4 linked regions of the Drosophila melanogaster genome follow. The protein of the gene in region 1 interacts with the protein of each later gene in a pairwise test. Each region holds a gene or a part of one and is shown in the gene's direction. Other genes may lie near its edges.

Region 1 (4,300 bases):
GCTGGAAAAGTTTCCCCGACGGACCACAAATGAATCATATGCCAAAAGGCATTTGAAGGCCTCAAGCCTTTGTAATGGGGCCTTTGGGTTCTTCTCCAGCCCACCTCCATCCTCCTCGACATGTCTGCGCCAACATGACGCTGGAAAGTGCATGTTGGAGCAGGGAAAGTTTTGTGCTCAAGTCTGAGCGCTGTCAATTTCAGTTTCCGTCTCCGTCCGGATGCGAGACGATTTTGCCAGATTTTCCCAAGAAGCAACATTTGTCTTTCCTGCATTTTGGGTGGCATCAAAGAACCGAGGCCTGCTTACCCTTCATAATACTTATAAGTTACATTCTGGGACCGCATGCCGAGACTCACCTGCAAGGACAGAGATAAAAGAATATTGGAGAGAGAAATAGAGAATAGGAGAGAAAAAGAGAGGCTACAGCTCTCTAATACATAATCTAATACCTAATCCCTGGCCACATCCCGACTTACATCAGGTTTAATTAACGAAGGAGGCGTGCTGGAAGGGCGGACTAAACTTAACCGGAACACAACTTAAGCGCATAAATTATAGCCTGAGCTCGGACTTAGGAATGCTAATGATGTCCTCCAGCTGTCCTTTCTCCACTCGCTTCGTGGCCCGGCTAATAATGCTTTTGCATATAATCAAGCAGCCCATGCATGACCTCTCCATGGCCACATCTCGGGCTCCCCGATCCGTCTCCTTGGGAGACTCACGGTGCTAATCCAACGACTTGACTGCCATTACCCAGGACACTGGAGTCGGGGTGGGGGAAAAAAACGTTCATTTGCTCAATCGTGCACTCGAAAATGTCAATTTACATTTGCGGACTGGTTGGTAACGCATTTTCCCCAGAGAGGCAATACGGCCCCAGCCAGCTTAAGTTGACTTTAACGCCTCAATGCATCCAACTAGAAGGCCCAGATGGAGGCGGTGGCCAAGGGAAATGCGAAGGCATTCCATATAGGAGAAAGTTTTTGTGTGTGCAACGGGGAAAAAGAAAACTTTTTATTAAAGTCAGCTGAAATGGGTGGAACTCGTTTCGGTTTCGAATTTCAATGCTCCCAGAAACTAGCCCTAGTCCTCCACGTTCCCTCAGCCATCCTCTTTCCACGTCCCCTACTCCTAATGTCCGGGTGTGTGTGTTTGACAATGTGGGCGTGGTTCTCGGCTCTGTCTGTTGCTTTGGTCAAGTTAATTTGTATGTGTGGCCGTAAAGTTTTGCCAGCTTAGACTTTCCAACGCACTGGCCAGTGGGCGGTGAGGATAGATGGATGAATGGATGGATGCTGCCGCCACGGAGATTTGGACAGTTGGGTGCGGGCCGGAGAGTTCCCCCAGTATCTCAAATGTCCAGTTCTGGGTTCCGACCAAAATGTGTGAATTTTGTTGGCTTATTGCTTTTCTATGTCGCATAATTGCTGACTTCTTTCACACATTCGCACACATCATTGAAGCGGGATGGACTGGGTTGTACCGGACTGGTCAGGAAGGGACCGATTTGGGTGGGACTAAGCATGTTTGTCCTTGGACAAGGCGCATAAATCAATGGGGGCCGCCGCAGAGCCCCGAAATTTATGCTTGGTTGCATTTTTGATGTCCGGGTCCTAGCACGAGGACGAGGATGGGGACTGTTTAAATGCTCGCCCAGTGGGCAGGGAAGATAAGAGTGGTTGGGTGCGCTGTAACCGTCAGAACAAATCAAGAGAAAAGCTTCCGGCAAAAGCGTATTTCAATTCTGAGCAGACGGATGCCTACACACAGCTATCTGTATTTTGGCACTGAACTCTACCTACAGAGCCAACAATGTGTTTTTTGGATAGTTTCGCACGTTATAGGTTGTTGCATGGTTACTTGGTGGCCTCCAAGGTTACCACCGCTTGCTACCCAAACAAATTGTCCCAGCAACGCGAATCGAATAAAGTTTCCAATCTTGGTATCACTCAATGAAGCTCAAATTCTGCTCCAGGATATACTTCCCAGTCCCGGTTTTTTAGGCCTTATTAACAAGCTTACTTTAAAAAGGATGCCCTGCTTTTCCGCCTCCAATGTGCGATTCGTCAGTGCAGAATCTCAGGTGCAGAAAAAGTGCAATGAGCTAAGAGCCAGGGCACGAGCCCAAACGGCAGCCTATCGCCCGCCTGCTTGTGGCTTCCACCCAACCGCCACATCTTTCGGGTCCTTCAGGAGACCACTTTGTGACCAGTCGGCGGCCTATGACCAGAAGCAACTAAAGCGCAATGAACGCGATCGAAAACGCAATCAGGGCACAAAACAAGTGGTGCTCCGAGCCGGGGAGCTTCGCCGTCTCAAGGATCAGGGAAAACTAGAAACCGTGAGCGAGAAGCTGCAGAGGATTGAGCAGCACGAAGAGGAGCACCGCAAGCAGCTGCAAATGGTTGAGGAGACGCGACAACGATTCAAGGCCATCGATGAAGCCAAGGGGGTTGGCGCTTCCGAAAGCAGAAGCACCCTGCTCAGCGAGATCCTCGAGGAAAAGGAGTCCGTGTTAAGTCGCGCCTTTCTTGCCCGTCAAGAGCAGGAACAGGAGGTGAAGCAGATCAACCGCATGATTCTCGACGCAAAATGCAAAGCTGTGCGGGAAGCGCAGATCCATGAGAAGCACCTCTTATCCAAGGCGCTGCGCGAGGACGATGAGCGACTGGCACGTATGGTCAACGAACGGGCCCAGAAAGCGCTGACCGAAGAGGATGAGCGCGAGCGACTGGAGGTGGAGAAGCGGAACCGCTATGCCCAGGAGATCCGGCAGCAGCTCTCAGAGCGCGAGAACGTGCGCTACTTGGAAGCCAAGCGGGTGGCCGACGAGGCCAAGGATATTCGTCGCGCCACCGAGCTCCTGCGCAGCCAGGAGGAGCAGCAGCGGGCCTTTGCCCAACTGCGCAAGCAAAGGCTCCGGGAGGAGCTCCAGCGCATCCGGGACATGTCCAACGTCTTCAAGACGATGTTCAGCGAACAGGAGCGATTGGCTGACCTGCGGGTAACCGCCTACATGCGCGATAAGCAGGAGAAGGAGCGCCAGCTTAAGGAAATGAAACGACTGGCCAAAAAGGAGTTCGAGCGCCGCCAGCAGCGCATCTTTACGGTAGCTGCCGAAGCCATGGAGACGCGCCAGACCAACGACGAGCTGAAGTATCTAAAGGAGCGAGACCGCGTGGAGCGCGAGTATCGCCAGCGGGAGAAGGAAGCAGCCATAGCGCGGCGGGAGGCAGAGCGGGACCTGCTCGAGGCACGGGCGCAGCAGGCCCAGGAGATGAAGCAGCGCCTTGCTCTGGAGATCGCCCACGCCGGGGAGGAGTTCGCCAAGGTCATGGATCGCATGCGCGAGGAGGAGGAGAAGCAGAAGGTCATGGATCGTCAGCGGGACGCTCAGCGGCAGGCTTACCGCCAGGACTTGCGCCAACAGATGACAGACAAACAGGCGGAGCGTCGCCGTCTGGCCGAGCTGGAAGCCGGAAGGGTGCAGAAGTGGCTCGACCATGAGAAGCAGCGGGACGTTAACATCCAGCAGGTGATTAACGCCAAGATCGCGGCTATGCGCGACAATTGCCTACCGGAGAAGTACTTGCGGGAAGTGGAAAAGCAGCTGAAGAACATCCAAAGTTCCCGCAACCGGATCCGCTGAGGATAGCCTAATCTCACAGGTCGTTGCCTAGTGTCGGGCGCTCTTGGAATGCCGCTAGGTGGGTCCATGTGGGGCCTTAGAGTAGGCTATTAGTTCTAGTACTGCAAGGCTTCAAAATAAAGTGCACTTGAAAGTAAAAGCGTGGTGTCATATGTGAGTGAGGAACTCGTTTCATGGCTGGGCATGTAGGTAGCTTATTTACTATACAGATCTAAGAAGTTCGAAGTTCGAACTTCGATGCCATTTCCCTGCCCAAAAGTATGCCATTAAATTGCCAGCCAAAAGTAACTGGCGAATCGAAATCAAAGAACCGCCATGATGACTAAGCGACATTGTTGCGCGTGCGGTAGAAGAGTCCGCCCACACATCTCGCTAATTTCCAACTATGTGGGCGTTTAGGCCACCTCCCCCCACAGGAACCCACTTTCTCCGCGGGTGGGTACACACAATTACGGGTGAGCGGGAATGGGGTGGGGAAAACTACTGCCCGGGTGCCATGGAAAAAGTGGTAGCCAACTTTTGGCTACAATAAAATTTTATTATGCCACACACATACGCTGAGCGTACACAAGCAAACAATGGAAAGACGACGACGAAGATGAAGATAGAGCTGGAGCTCCAGCTTGAGTGGAGATGCCACCGCTAGCG
Region 2 (4,638 bases), on another chromosome or scaffold:
TTTCCTCATCGAATGATCATTGCCGAGCACTTAATTGCCGAGTGGAATGTTTAGGACAGCAATCTTCAGTTGTTTTTCATTGTACACAAAATTGGAAGTCACTCTCATGTGGCCGGCAAATGGCATGTTCCCTATGTTTAGGGGTAATTGTATGCAAGTGTAAATATTAAGTTAGCAGAAGTCTCGTAGGGTAAGGATATTTACTAATTCGGTGTGGTGATATCATATAGATTTGCTTCTAGGGACTTTAATCAGACCATTAAGCTCGAATGCAATCTTTGCGCTTATTTCACTTAAGCAATTATATTTTATCTTTATGTTCAAACTTTTTAGGGCAGATAGTGCATACGCTAGAGTGCTTTCGTTCTACTCACTACTAACTCACTACAAATCACTACCTAAATAGGCTAATAGACGCATTTTAAAGACCCCAATTTCGGTAAATTCATGAAATTATAAATTCTCTTTTTTATAGTCCTATTTATGAATTATAAATGCACAAATTCATTTTCATACGCGCAACGGCAACTGTGAAAAGTGAGGAATCCCAATAACCAAAAATTAACAGGGACTTGGTGGCAGAAAATTTAACACTCATGAGAACTACAGGGTGCGAGGGCAAAGCTTGGGTTAACAGGATGATAGGTACACAGAAAAAAAAAACTATTCCATTGAAATTTGCGATCATCATTCATACGGTGTTTATGTTTTTGGAGTAGTTGATTCAAAATTGTAAAAAAAAAACCCTGTGTTTCCTTTAGCAATGTGGTCCAATCAGTTCATCATTTTATGCATATAATCTAAATAATAAAATTGAACCTGATTACACATCAAAATCAAATTTCTCTCCGTGCATCGGGGGAGAGAACAATAAATGTACACGGGGTTGCTGTTGCTTTTATTCCTTAAGGACGGGAATAACACACTAACCGCATGGGAGAGAAAAGAAGTGGAAGAGGGGAGGTGGGTAGGGAAAAGGAGCGAAAGAAGGAGAAGCGGCAGGAGCATAATAAAGACAAAAAGTACGTGGGTGGAAAACAACAAATACAGCCCAAATTGTATAAACTCACGGAACAGTTATTTCCCTCTATGGGTGGAAAATTGTTGCTGCTAATTCCCTTGCTGCTGTTGTTGTTGTTGTTGTTGCCGCTGCTGCGTAGGCGTAACAGTTGTTTTGCCGATGTGTGTGTGTGTGTTCTAGTATAATTTGCAGCATCTGCAGTGCAATAAATTCCACTAAACGAACATTAGCCACTTTCAATAGAACCAAAAATCTCACTGCAATTAAGCAATAACCGCGCAAGCAATCAATCCCGATTAGTTAAAGGAATATACGCGCGTACGCACAGATTTTTAAACAATCATCCGCTTTCGCCGAAAGAGTGCCGGCACTCGAAAAATACCTCCGCTTTAATCAAGAGTCCGCGGGCAATTGAAAAAGCTCTCGCTTCGCGTGTTCACGGCGTGTACCTACATAGGTACGCATCAATTAGGTACCTGCCGCCCACTGCTTTAATCGTAAGTGCATTTCTGATTTAAAAGTGTGACACGAGCCTTATAAGTCTTATAATTTATATTTTATGCAAACAGCTTTACAAATTTTTAATGTGTAGAAAGAAACTGCGTTTTATTGAATTTGAGCATCATCAAACTTCAACCCCAAAGAATTACACATAAGTAGTTTCGTTTTTGCTACCAAAGATGCTGACGTTTATTTTGCGTATTAGATATGGCTTTGTTACAATTTTAGTAAAAGTATTTTAAAATGGAAAGGTACAAATCTGAACTTTAATAAAACACAAAATTGTTTAATTTAAAAACTTCAAATATTCAAAAATTCCTATAATTCAATTAAGTAACCCACTGTGCAGCGGCTTATCGATTTCCTCCGACAATCGATTGGACCATGTTGTTTAATTTCGCGACATATCGATACTATCGTGGTAGATTGGCCATTGACCAACGCGTTTTATTTGCTACCGGTGTGGCTTTTGTTTGCTTAAACAATTGGATAATTTATTGCAATCCCGGCTTAAATGCATATGATTGAAGAATGCATACATCGGATATCAGCATGACCCAGGATCAGGATGTGAGCACTTGTCGCCTGTGCCACCATAATACGGATCCCAACTCGCTAAACATTTTCGATGACACCGTGCAGTTTTGCAAGGATGTGTCCATTGCAGAGGTTTCCAAGAGTCTCTGGAGCGTTCAGGTGAGTGGGCCATTTATAATCCATGGAAAAAGTGCATGAATAACTTCTCCACCTACAGTACGATCGCAACGAATGTTTGTCGGAGCTCATTTGCTCAAGGTGTCTGGAGATCCTCGAAGAGGCATTCGAGCTGCGAAAAGGAATGCAGGAGCGGGAACAGTCCCTGCAGGAGCAGCTGAAGGAGATGATTAAAGATCATCCGAAGCACCGTCCAGGCCTGAATGGCAACCCCGGAGTATTCGTACCCGAGGAGGGCTGCATTATTGTGGAAGTTGATCCAGAGAATCTGGCAGAGAGCAGTGAAGAGGAATTCGCACTCGGCTCCGATGGGGAGTACGAAAACTATGACGACGATGATGAGGAGGAGGAGGAAGACTACGATGAGGAGGACGAGGAAGATGGCCAGAACGGCGAAGACGTCGACATGCCACTGGGCATGGATGCGGCCCAGATGGCGGCTCAACAGTCCGTTGCCAACAACGCCAACACCACGGAGGCACGGCCAAAACGAGCGTTCCTCTGTCAATACTGTGATCTTGGGTTCACTCTGCCCGCCGAGTGTCAAGAGCACGAGCTGGCTGCACACGATCCCAACGCACCGTACTGCTGCAACTTTTGCAACATCAAGCTGGTTACCCGGCCTGCTTTGATTTCGCACATAAAGACACTGCATGATCCGGACCGTCCGTATGTGTGTGCTCACTGTCGGAAGGGTTTTGTGCGCCGCTCCGATCTTAAAAAGCACACAATCGTGCACACTGGCGTGAGGCCCTTCACATGCAACGTTTGCTCCAAGAGTTTCTCGCGGAATACAAATCTGACCAAGCACATGCGCATTCATAGCGGTGTCAAGCCCTTTGTTTGCCAGCAGTGTCCGCGATCCTTCCAGACGGCTGTGGAAATGATGCGCCACACACGTTCGCACGGAGAGGTAAAGGCTTTCCAATGTGGACGCTGTCCCTACTCGTTTTCGCGCAGGGATAAGCTAATAGCCCACCAGCAAGTCCATACCAGGCGGGACATGGAGCAGCAGCAGCAAATGGGTCTAATTCCCCCGATGGAGGGTGATCTGCAGCAGCAGGCGTTGCAGGCTAAACAAAAGGCTGCCGCACAAACCAAAAACTCACGCTATTACCACTGTGATGTCTGCGATCGAACTTTCCAACGGGAGAGGGACCTGCAACGCCATCAAGCTCTTCACATGGACTCGCTGTTCGCCTGCAAGACATGTAATCAAGGTTTCAACCGACGCGAGCAACTGCAGCGCCATGAGCTAGAGGCTCATGGTCCCAGCTTTACGTGCGGAATCTGTTGCATTAGCTTCCTGCATCAAATTGAGCTGGAGAATCACCTCAAAGTCCATCAGTTGCAGCACAAGATGGCCCAGCGGGCTCAAGAGGCTGCTATTTTACCCCTAAAAATGGCCGAAAAGGCTCCAGTGGCTATGACGGCTCCGCTAGTTCAGGATCCCCAGCTAGTGCGTCCCTCGGCAGCGGAACTGTCGTTCTACAGCAACATGATTCCCACAATGAATCTGGGCTTCTACAGCGAGACTCGTCCCGAGGAATAGAACAACATATTTACATGTTTAATAAGCTTAGTTGATAGGTCGGAAAAGTTTTGTAGGTCAAGGCTGTTTTAGTCGTTCAGGTCAACATAGAATCCATTGGTGTTAATGAATCTGTATAGTTTAAGTCATCTGACTATTGTCTGCCAAAATGTAGCTTAGTGGTTTTTAATAAAAGGCCAAATCTGAAACGGTTTTCTTCGAGATCGTATGACTTTGTGAAGATATTATTTTTCATAAGATATTAAAGAAAGTTTTCTGCTCTATAAAAAACTTCTTAAAGTTAAGTTATGTTAAACCTATTTAAAGTAGGTTTACTTAATATATAAATAAAATATCAAGTAAGGTATTTGAACATTTTGTATTAGCAGTCGTCTCAGACCAACATGTTGCGTGCAACAAGTTGCACGTTGTCCGATACGAAGAAGGTCTTCTCCGAAATCTTCAGAGCAACTGCACCGCTGCAGATTCTTTCTTGAGTTCGCCCCGTACGGTAGTGCCTCTCGACCAGCGCTCTCGGATCTTGATCGCCTCGAAATCTCGTAATCGCCTCGAAGTGCGCGTAGTGAATTGTGCTGGTGCTGACAGTGTAACGTAACGTTTGATAGAATAATAAATAATAAGTATTGGAGTGGGAGATCCGCAAAGAAATGTGGCCAAGCTACCATAAATAAAGTGCGGATTTCAAACGAGACGATAAATCTATTCCCGAAACGGGCACGCAATCGAGGGAATACGAATCCACCTTACGGTTCGCTTGGTTTTGGTTAGGTTCAGGTTCCGCTGAGAGCGGTAAGTACGCAATTACCTTCGCCATTGCCAAGGGTCACTTCGCAGGCGATTTATGTGTATG
Region 3 (4,953 bases), on another chromosome or scaffold:
TTTGTATATAGAAGAAGCATTATAGTGACTGAATATCTTATTGTAATTGTGTATATAATACTTAATAGTTAACTGCGTATTTATACTTAATATTTAATGAAATATAAAGAAATTGTTTGATAAATGAATGTGTGTTATTGCTGCATTTCAGGTTATTCAAATGAGCGCTATAGTATCGTTGTAAAATTTTGACTATTTGAAATTCTCCCGCCAAGCGCCTTGCTGAAATACGGGCACATCAATGGCAGAGCAGCCAGCCTTGAAATACTAAAATGCATTCTCTCAACCGCATGGCCACACTGAAAATATCGATAACAAATCGGCTAGACTTGTTGATGTTTCCTAGTAGGAAATTCCTCCGCTTCCAATTTTAGTTATTTGTCTTCAAATGTTTTTTTGTTTCATATTCTAAACTGGTTGCTTGGAAAGATTGCTAGATTGTCCATCATTCCGAATCGTGCCTAATCAGGTGTCCGGCTGCCACGCTCCGAATTGCCTTGAAATTCAACATGAATGTTTGTCGCCTGTGCTTGTCGAAGGAACCCAATTTCCCCGTTTTCGGTGCAAATGGATCGACTGCTCTGCAGATAATGGTCTGCACATCGCTGGAGATCGAGCCCGGCGACGGTCTGCCACAGCACATATGCACCATGTGTCGGCTGCAACTGGAGGAGATGCACTGCTTCCGACGACGCTGCCTCGCAGCCGATCGCAAATTGAGGCGCCACAAGGCGTTGCAGCGGCAGGGTGTCAAGTCGCAGCTGAGTGAAGTGGAGGAGGAGCGGGGCTCCGGGGAAGGATGCACGCAAACTGGCTGCGCCGAGAACAATGCCCAGTGGCGCCAGCAGGCCGCCCAGCTCATTAGCAGCGAGATCGACGCGTATAAAAAGGAGCTGCTCAGCACTTGCAAGCAAGCTGTGCGGGCGGAAATCGAGCTGGAGCTGCGGGCGGAACTCGAAGAGGTCATCATACCCGAAGCCAAGCAGCAGTTGCGACTGAGCGTTCTGGACGACGTGTTTGTCGAACTGGAACGGTACTTTGTGCGCAAGCGCAATGAGGCGACCTATGAGATGAAGATGAACTTAAGCAGTCCGCTGCCTGACGAACAGACCGCTGGCTTCTACGAAACAGACATGGGCCAGGAGCTAAGGGAGCAGAGCGATAACAGCGTGGTGGAGTTACTGGGTAAGACCAGCCCACTTACTTTGCAATTGCACGACTTATATATTTCTCAAATGTAATAGACGATGAACCAGAAGCCAGCAGACAGCCAGCTGCAACGCCACTAGTTGCTGTGCCCATGGTTGAGATCAACATGAACGACCCGCAGCTGAGTCATCTGCGCAACGACTATAGCAAGGACACCTTTCTGGGTGCCAACACAACTGCCTTAGAGGATGTAAAAACCCCATCGCCGTGTCGAAAGAAAGTGCGCTTTATGAGCCCCAAGCAGACGACCGATAACCTGTGCCGAAAGCACAGTTCCTTCAAGACAAAATGCAGCAGTTCGTACGCCGATTTCAAAAGTTGTGTGCGCTGTCGTCTAAGAGGAGCGGATAAGCTAAATAACACCGTGACGTAGCCACGTAACAACGAATTTAGTTTAATCCTCTATATTATAAGAATAGTACCTTTTTTTGTGCACGCATATTTGACTAAGCCATCACCTATTTTAATTGTCATTGTATTCTATTAAACTTTAAATATGCACATTCGGTATGCATTGGATTTGTATGAAAATCAATACCTTTAAACCTTACATTAATAAATTAAGTTATGATACGTTTATGGGCCGTATATATCAAATTGTTTATTTACGAACAGTGTGACTGTATTGCTTTCGTTTCGAGAGGAGGTATTTTTAGCGAACCTGTCTGCGGTCACATTGCTTGCGATGCAGAGACGCCACCGAGTAAATACGTTGATTTACCAAAAATAGACGCCTTCATGGATGCACAGCCGTCGTATCCCGATTTGGCGACCCTGTGCCGCCTTTGCCTCAAGGAGCACCAGGATGCGTACGCGATCTTCGACGAGGACGACACCCAGCTCTCGATACCCGTGCGCCTGATGGCCTGCGTCGCACTGGACGCCAAGGCGACGGATACTCTGCCGAAGAGGATCTGCCAGGAGTGCCGCTATCAGCTGGAGAAGTCATTCCTGTTCCGGCAGCGCTGCCAATGGGCGGAGAAGAAGCTTCGCAAGCATATCCGACTTCTGGGTCTCGGGAAGCGAAGCCGCGTCTTCTCCAAGGATCCGGACGATTATGACGAGGACGAGCTGGAGTTCGAGGACTCTATTGCCTTCATCGAGGTGCAGGACAAAGTGCGCAAGCTTGAGGACGAAAAGTGGCGAGAAGATTTTAAGGAAGAACAGGCGGCGGAAATGCACAAACGGCTGGTCAAATCTCGTCTAGAACTTCGAGCGAAACTGACCACCGAACTGCGCAAGGAACTAGCGGAGGAGGTGCGCAGTGAGGTTCGCAAGGAGCTGGCCGAGGAGGTGCGCAGCCAGGTTAGAGATGACCTGCGAAACGAGGTGAGCGAGGACATAAGAAAAGAGCAGCTGGCCATGCTGTTGGGCGAATTGGAGGTGTATCTTACCGAGAAAAAGGCCGGTCGGTGGGAGTCTTTGGATGGGTCCGAACCAGAGACCAAGCCGCAAGTCAAGGAAGATGCCTCCCCTTCTAGGTCAAAAACTAAAGCTCTTCCAAAGCGACGACCCAGCTTGGTCGACGCCAATCTAAAGGCGACAGAGGCCAGGAAGGATGCAAAAGAAGAGGAATTCATATTGGGCTGCAATACCGACCCCGCAAATAATAGCGATGTAAACATAGATGGCCTCGAACTGGACGAGGAAGTGCCCGCGGAAAGCGGTGAAGACTTCAGGGAAATCAACATGGTTGGATCAGATGTAGTGCACACAGACAATGGAGAGATTTACATCATAAACTCTGCCAGCTCAGAGGATCAAAACCAGGACTCCACTCCCGAATTTGACCAGGACAACGGAATCACCTCCTATAACAGTAAGTGGGTATAATTTGGCAAAAAAAATGTGAAAAAATTTTCATTTCATTAAATTCTTTGCTTAGTCAAAGAAGACGGCGAAATTCAGTTCAGTGGCGAAAAGCCAGAGGAAATCGAAGACGTGGTCGTGTTTAATCTGGGCGAGGAGATATCTCAGGAGCAACAGGTCTTCAGCTTCCATGAAAATGTCATTATAGTGGTAACTAACCGTGTGATTTTAAATTGAACTCGAATTCAACTTGGATCTTATTATCTGTAGGAAAAAGAACAGAACGATAGAGATGAGCAGACGCCCCTCAAACGAAAGAGATCGAGTGAGTTGGTGTTCAAGCAGGAGTCCAGTTGTCCTCAACCAAAAACCGGTCGAATTACGGACACGGTGAAGTCGTTCCAGTGCCATTTGTGCCCGGTGGCATTTCCTACGCAGAAACTTCTGACGCGCCACCACAACACCCACATTAAGGGACTGAAAAGTGGAAAGGGCGGCACGCTCAAGTGTCCCAGCTGCGCACTGCAACTGTCGTGCGCCAGCTCGCTCAAACGCCACATGATTATCCACACGGGCCTGAAACCCTTCAAGTGCAGCGAGTGCGAACTGTCCTTCTCCCAGCGCGAAGTGCTCAAGCGTCACATGGACACCCATACGGGAGTAAAGCGCCATCAGTGCCCCCAATGCTCGAGCTGCTTTGCCCAGAAGTCCAACCTGCAGCAGCACATTGGCCGCGTGCATATGGGCAACTCTCGGACGCACAAGTGTCATCTGTGTCATCGTAGCTTCAATCATGTTTCGGGCCTCAGTCGCCATCTGGTCACCCACGCTGGCGTCATGTTCTCCTGCAAACAGTGCGGCCGTCAGTTTAACGATCGCAGTGCGGTCCAGAGACATGTAACCACAATGCACAAGGTGAAGAACAAGCTCACAGACTACATATCCGAGACGAACGAGTTTCAAGCTGTGGCCTAGAATAGTCCCTGGACATGTTTTACCAATACACCGCAGATTGGACCACCATGTTTTACACCTGAAGAGACCAACTTTGATTGATCTGAATATTTTACAACTTTATTCGCGAACCTAGAGTGCTCACAACAGTTGGCACCAAAAATCATCAACATGATAGCGTTAAAACATTTAGAAACATGCAGCATTAAACAGTTTAGCAAACAAATACAAATCGGAACATTTGGAACAGCTCTGTAACAAGATACATATAGCTAGACGTACATTTTACAATATCGTTTAATAAATACCACATAAGACGATGTACAATTTTATAGGCAAATATACGTATTTTTAATAAACTCAACTGCTCTACGAATACTTTAAACTTAAGCTAATCGCCAAAAACGGATTCAAAATGCGCCTAAGAGAAAACGAACGATCGTGCCTGCCATTCGAATGCCAAATGCAATGAATAATATTTTCTTGTATAATCGGAAGCGCTTTTCAAATGAGATTACCAAGGGAAACAAGCCCGCAACGACATCCTTAGAGGTCGAAACCGTTTAACATTCCTGGTTAATGCGTTATAAAGCCAATAACAATCCAATATCACGCTATCCTAATAATTGGAACAAATTATTCCATAATATCCAGTAAGGTCCTAACTCTTGCGGCCCTTCTGCCACTGCTAGTCGGAGTTTGTAAGCGAGCTGCGCTGCGATTCGAGTGTATTTGAGTCGTGCCGCTGGCGCAGAACTCGCGTCTGGCTGGCTGGTAACTTGGAGAAGTCCTTCATTACGTTCTTGTACGTCTCATCTTCGCCATTGTACTCGTCGTTGGGTCCAATCTCGTCATTCAGTTGTGTCAATCGGAGTCTGAAACAAGAATGGTTATGTATCTGCCGGATTGAAGCTCTGCTTTCTTACTCACAGCGTTACAATGTCTGCGTTTTCCTGGTCCACTGCAATGTCCAGAGCCTTC
Region 4 (4,243 bases), on another chromosome or scaffold:
CTCATTGGCAAACGCGCACACAAAATTTATATTTTTTTTTTTATTTCAACTTCACGAATTTTATGACTTTTATTCACTTTCATTTGCGGCCAATTGGACACATTACACACCTTATTGCGCTGCGTTTGCGGCGGCGGCGAGTGCGCACATTTGTTTTGGAATTTGTATGCTGTATTTAACGGAAAATCGACGAATCGACGACCGTAACTCCGTGCACTTTTCCGACCGCGACAACAACAAAATGTGATGTGACCGAAGGCGGACGTCTGTAAAATGCCAAAGCTACGACCTGAGCAATCGATAGTTCGGTGATGCCAGATTATATCATCGATTCTAGAATCGATATCGGACTTATCGATCAGCCAACGGTATGGCAAGGCTGTTTCCAAATAACAGTGGCAATTAAATTTATTTAAGTTTATTTAATTTGGTATTGCACACAAATCAATCTAACTTGCCTAGGGAAATTACTCAATTAAGAAGTAAGCATACAATATTTTTAGGCTTTCATTAGAAAACACGTGACAGCAAGGCGGTTCATCAGTTGTTTTATTTGTCAAATTGAAAAGTACACAATAATTAGGTAACAGAAATGTTGGAAATATTTAGGACGCCCTATGCGGACTCCAAACAGCTGCCGTTGGCAACTGGACCCGGTCCCATCATAATTATCCTCATTGGATACCTTCTGGTAGTTTTTAAGGCCGGCAGGAAGTTCATGGAGCATCGAGAACCTTATAATCTGCGAAAAGTGCTTAAGTACTATAACATGTTCCAGATATTCTACAATATAATGATGCTCCTGCCCGTGAGTTGAAATTTTGAGCCTACATTCTTTTCTTCAATTGATAAAAGCTTCTTCCGTAGGGATACTACTTCATGTTGGTATTCCAACCGTACAACTTTCGCTGCATGACTGTCCTGCAGCAGGATCATCCGCTGAAGAACTGGGAGCGCTGCATCAGCTATGCTTACTACATAAACAAGATCGTTGACCTGCTTGACACCGTGTTCTGCGTGCTGCGCAAGAAGTACTCGCAAATAACGTTTTTGCACGTTTTCCACCACGTCCTGATGCCATCCGCCGGATACTTGATAATACGATTCTATGGCTACGGAGGTCAACTCTTCTTCCTGTGCTCCTTCAATGTATTCGTTCATATCTTCATGTATGCCTATTACTATTCGGCCATCAAGGGCAATACGGTGCGTTGGAAGCGGTACTTGACCCTCATGCAAATGCTGCAGTTCCTCCTCATGTTTGGCCATTGCGCCTTAACCGCCATGCAGCGGCAGTGCACTGCATCGCAGGGAACCCTCTTTCTGGTCAGCTGCTCCGCGACCATCATGTTTATCATGTTCGCCAACTTTTATTTCCAGTGCTACCTGAGACCGAAGCATAAGGAGAACTAAAACTTAAATTAGGTCGAAAATTGAAGATATACTAATTTAGTCATACGTTTTTATGAGCCATTTTAATGGTGAACTTTCTAGATTTACAAAATTGTGCTTTGTAATTAAAAAGATAAATTTCAAAAAACCGTTTTCCATTAGGGTTTCTCACTACGAACATCAAATGAGTTATCGATTACGGGCAGCTCCACTTTCCGCATGCGGTCACACTTAAAAGTGCAACAACGCGCGCGTTGTCGGCAACCGTCGAATATTTGCAATTAGTCGCGAAATCAATTAGAAAACTATAGAATTAAATCAAATTATTGGTGATACCTCGATGGTCTAGCAGTTCGGAGCGCAAACATGTCTGCTAGCTCCTCCAGCAACGCTTGCAAGCTCTTGCTGCTCGGCCGCTGCCTGCGCGCCGTGCTCCTCAGCGTGGCCATCCAATTCCTGCTGCTCACAGTGTTCCTGCTGTTTGTGAACTTCCAACTGTTGCATCCGCTCGCCTGGGTGACGGGAACACTGCGTCTGGTAGCCAGTTGGTACACCTGGTTTGCCAGCATCCCTCTGGTGGCCTCCGTCGTGCTCTACGGTGTGATTCTTTGCCAGCAGCACTTGTCGGAGCGACGCTACTGCCCAACCCGCTACCGGTGGCTCCTGCACTACGGTCCACGCAAGGTGCTCTTTCTGTTCGCCCACCTTCTGGTCGGTCTGCTGACCGCCTGGCTCTACACGGGCTATCTGCACACAGACTATCAGTAAGTATACCTACAGTTGGTTTGAATTCGGTCAATACCTATGATTCCTTTTATTTCCAGACACCTGAAATATAAGTGCTATGGCCAGGATTGCATTAGTGCTTACAATGTCTATCTATTAGGCATCGGTATGACCGCCGGCTGCTACTACTTTGTCTCCGTTCACATGCGCAAGGAGATCTCCATTGAATTTCCCATTGTGGAGCAATCGCGGGCGGAGAAGATGCGAGAGCTGCTCTACGCCAGTTTGGCCAAATCTCTATTAAGTTCGCTGCTGCCTACGATCAGTTACACCGCCGTATTTTGTCTTTTCGGACCCATGGTATGCCACAGACTTAGTCACATTCTCTCTGTGGACATGGACGAGCGACTGGATGGATTCTTCGGAGTTGTTACCAATGTGCGCCTGCTTTTTTACGGCTATTTGCTGACCGCACAGATTTTGAGCAACATGCACCTAATGCGTTGCTTTTACGGCATTCTGCTCTCGGAGGATTTGCCACTGGTGGTGACTAAACCGCGAGCTGCTTTTGCCCATGAACAGGATATAACCTTGGTAGCGGGTCTCGGAGTTTTCAATGTGTATGTAGTGCAGTGCCTTGCTGCTCATCATTTCTACAAGCTGGCGTTGCGAAAGAACTCGCCACAACGGGCAGAGATATTCCAGCTGACTGAGCCGGGTAACCGGCCAGCAAGTTGGCGCTCCCTCTGCGACCAATGCTTGAGCATTCTCGGCAGCTTTACCGAAGAACTAACCGAGTCGATGCAGAAGATAAGTATACTCAAGTGCGCCCAGAGTCTGCCGATGCCGAAGATAACCGAATCGCTTACAACTAGCTTGATGGCCGAGAAGGTGTTGCTGCGGCAATACAACCAGAAACACGGCATTCGACCCATTGTATCGCCCAGTCGCGAGGTTGCTGTTGAAAGTCCAGCGGATGGCATCCGTCATTTTCCCAACTGGTGTGAGCGTGTATCCACGCAGTTGGAGCAGTCCCTACAACGGTTGCTACAGCGCGTTCCCGGCATTGTGTACTTATTCAACGAACCCGAAGGTGCCAAGACGACGTTTCTGCTGGCCAACTCCCTGCCCGTAGTGTATATGACTCAGGCTCTGGCTCAGGTGTGCGCAGCCTCGCTCAAAGAGGATCCATATGGAGTAGTGCAGAACGATTTGCCTGCTATCATCAAGGCGATCAACAAGCTGCGAAATGAGCTAGATAAGCTAAGTAGCGTGATAGGCAACATAAGGATATCCAGCTCTAGCTTTAACGTGCTTCGATGCGCAGTGCGACGCAGTCTGTACGCCATCTGTTTGTCGTTTTGCGACTATCTGGACGATCTGCTACCCCCTGGAGAGGAACTGCGCCAGCTGCAGGACCTCGTCTGCCAGGAGTAAACCCATCCATCACTTTATACACTCATCTTGTACACTGTTTTGCATCTCTTTAGTTGTTTGTCTGCGGTAACAATAAAAATTAATAAATATAACTACAAACGTCCAATAGTTATAGAATACTATTGACTTTTATACTTAAAGTACGAAATGGTAACACGCGATTTGATCATAACTAGCACTGATGAAATGGTCTGCAGGTTGAATGTGTACAAGCGGGCGGCCTTACTGTTCCTCCATCGCCACTGCCATCATGAGCAGGGCCAGATCCTGCTCTAGCTGCCGCTTTGGTCAAAGGTCGGCTGCTTTTGTAGGCAGTGAGCTGGCAACGGCAACGGTGGCTGCCTCTCCCAGAGACTGCTCCAGCTGCACGGCCACCTCATCCAGGTGCTGGAGAGCCTCCTTGGCCTTGCGGTTGCGTCCGTCCACGAAGATCTGCGTGTCCAGGAAGTGCAGGGCGCGGAAGGCCATACCGCCTTGCGGGTCATATAAGCTGTCGAACTTTTTCGGATTCCTGGCGCTGGCACTCTGGTCCGGCGTGTCGGGATCGAAGGGCACGTATTCCTGAATCGGCTCCTTGTGCCACCGGAAAATGTTTCGCGAATCTGTAAGGAGTTGGTATATGATTACGTGATACTTGATTTCGGTTGAAAGGAAATGGAACCTAGATCAGCCAGCACTCGCGTCATTT

The links.
Region 2: the proteins of CG11449 (region 1) and prg interact in a two-hybrid assay, tested with the Drosophila melanogaster proteins (one large-scale study listed by BioGRID).
Region 3: the proteins of CG11449 (region 1) and CG31365 interact in a two-hybrid assay, tested with the Drosophila melanogaster proteins (one large-scale study listed by BioGRID).
Region 4: the proteins of CG11449 (region 1) and Ndc1 interact in a two-hybrid assay, tested with the Drosophila melanogaster proteins (one large-scale study listed by BioGRID).

What each region holds. Positions count from the first base shown.
Region 1 is NT_037436.4:22,452,338-22,456,637, forward strand, and holds CG11449 (uncharacterized protein), read left to right. Parts: upstream 1-2,035; coding exon 2,036-3,652; downstream 3,653-4,300.
Region 2 is NT_033779.5:8,462,557-8,467,194, forward strand, and holds prg (piragua), read left to right. Parts: upstream 1-1,931; 5' UTR 1,932-2,053; coding exon 2,054-2,218; intron 2,219-2,276; coding exon 2,277-3,788; 3' UTR 3,789-4,138; downstream 4,139-4,638. UniProt on the Drosophila melanogaster protein: May be involved in transcriptional regulation. The function of this protein is unclear.
Region 3 is NT_033777.3:23,123,337-23,128,289, reverse strand, and holds CG31365 (uncharacterized protein), read left to right. Parts: upstream 1-1,867; 5' UTR 1,868-1,947; coding exon 1,948-3,028; intron 3,029-3,094; coding exon 3,095-3,228; intron 3,229-3,288; coding exon 3,289-3,993; 3' UTR 3,994-4,328; downstream 4,329-4,953. Other genes in the region: CG31457 (uncharacterized protein), read left to right, coding at 510-1,185, 1,245-1,582; CenB1A (centaurin beta 1A), read right to left, coding at 4,661-4,847, 4,903-4,953.
Region 4 is NT_033777.3:23,922,786-23,927,028, forward strand, and holds Ndc1 (nuclear division cycle 1), read left to right. Parts: upstream 1-1,613; 5' UTR 1,614-1,758; coding exon 1,759-2,156; intron 2,157-2,216; coding exon 2,217-3,555; 3' UTR 3,556-3,651; downstream 3,652-4,243. Other genes in the region: CG31141 (uncharacterized protein), read left to right, coding at 593-808, 868-1,413; CG13601 (uncharacterized protein), read right to left, coding at 3,844-4,157, 4,217-4,243. UniProt on the Drosophila melanogaster protein: Component of the nuclear pore complex (NPC), which plays a key role in de novo assembly and insertion of NPC in the nuclear envelope.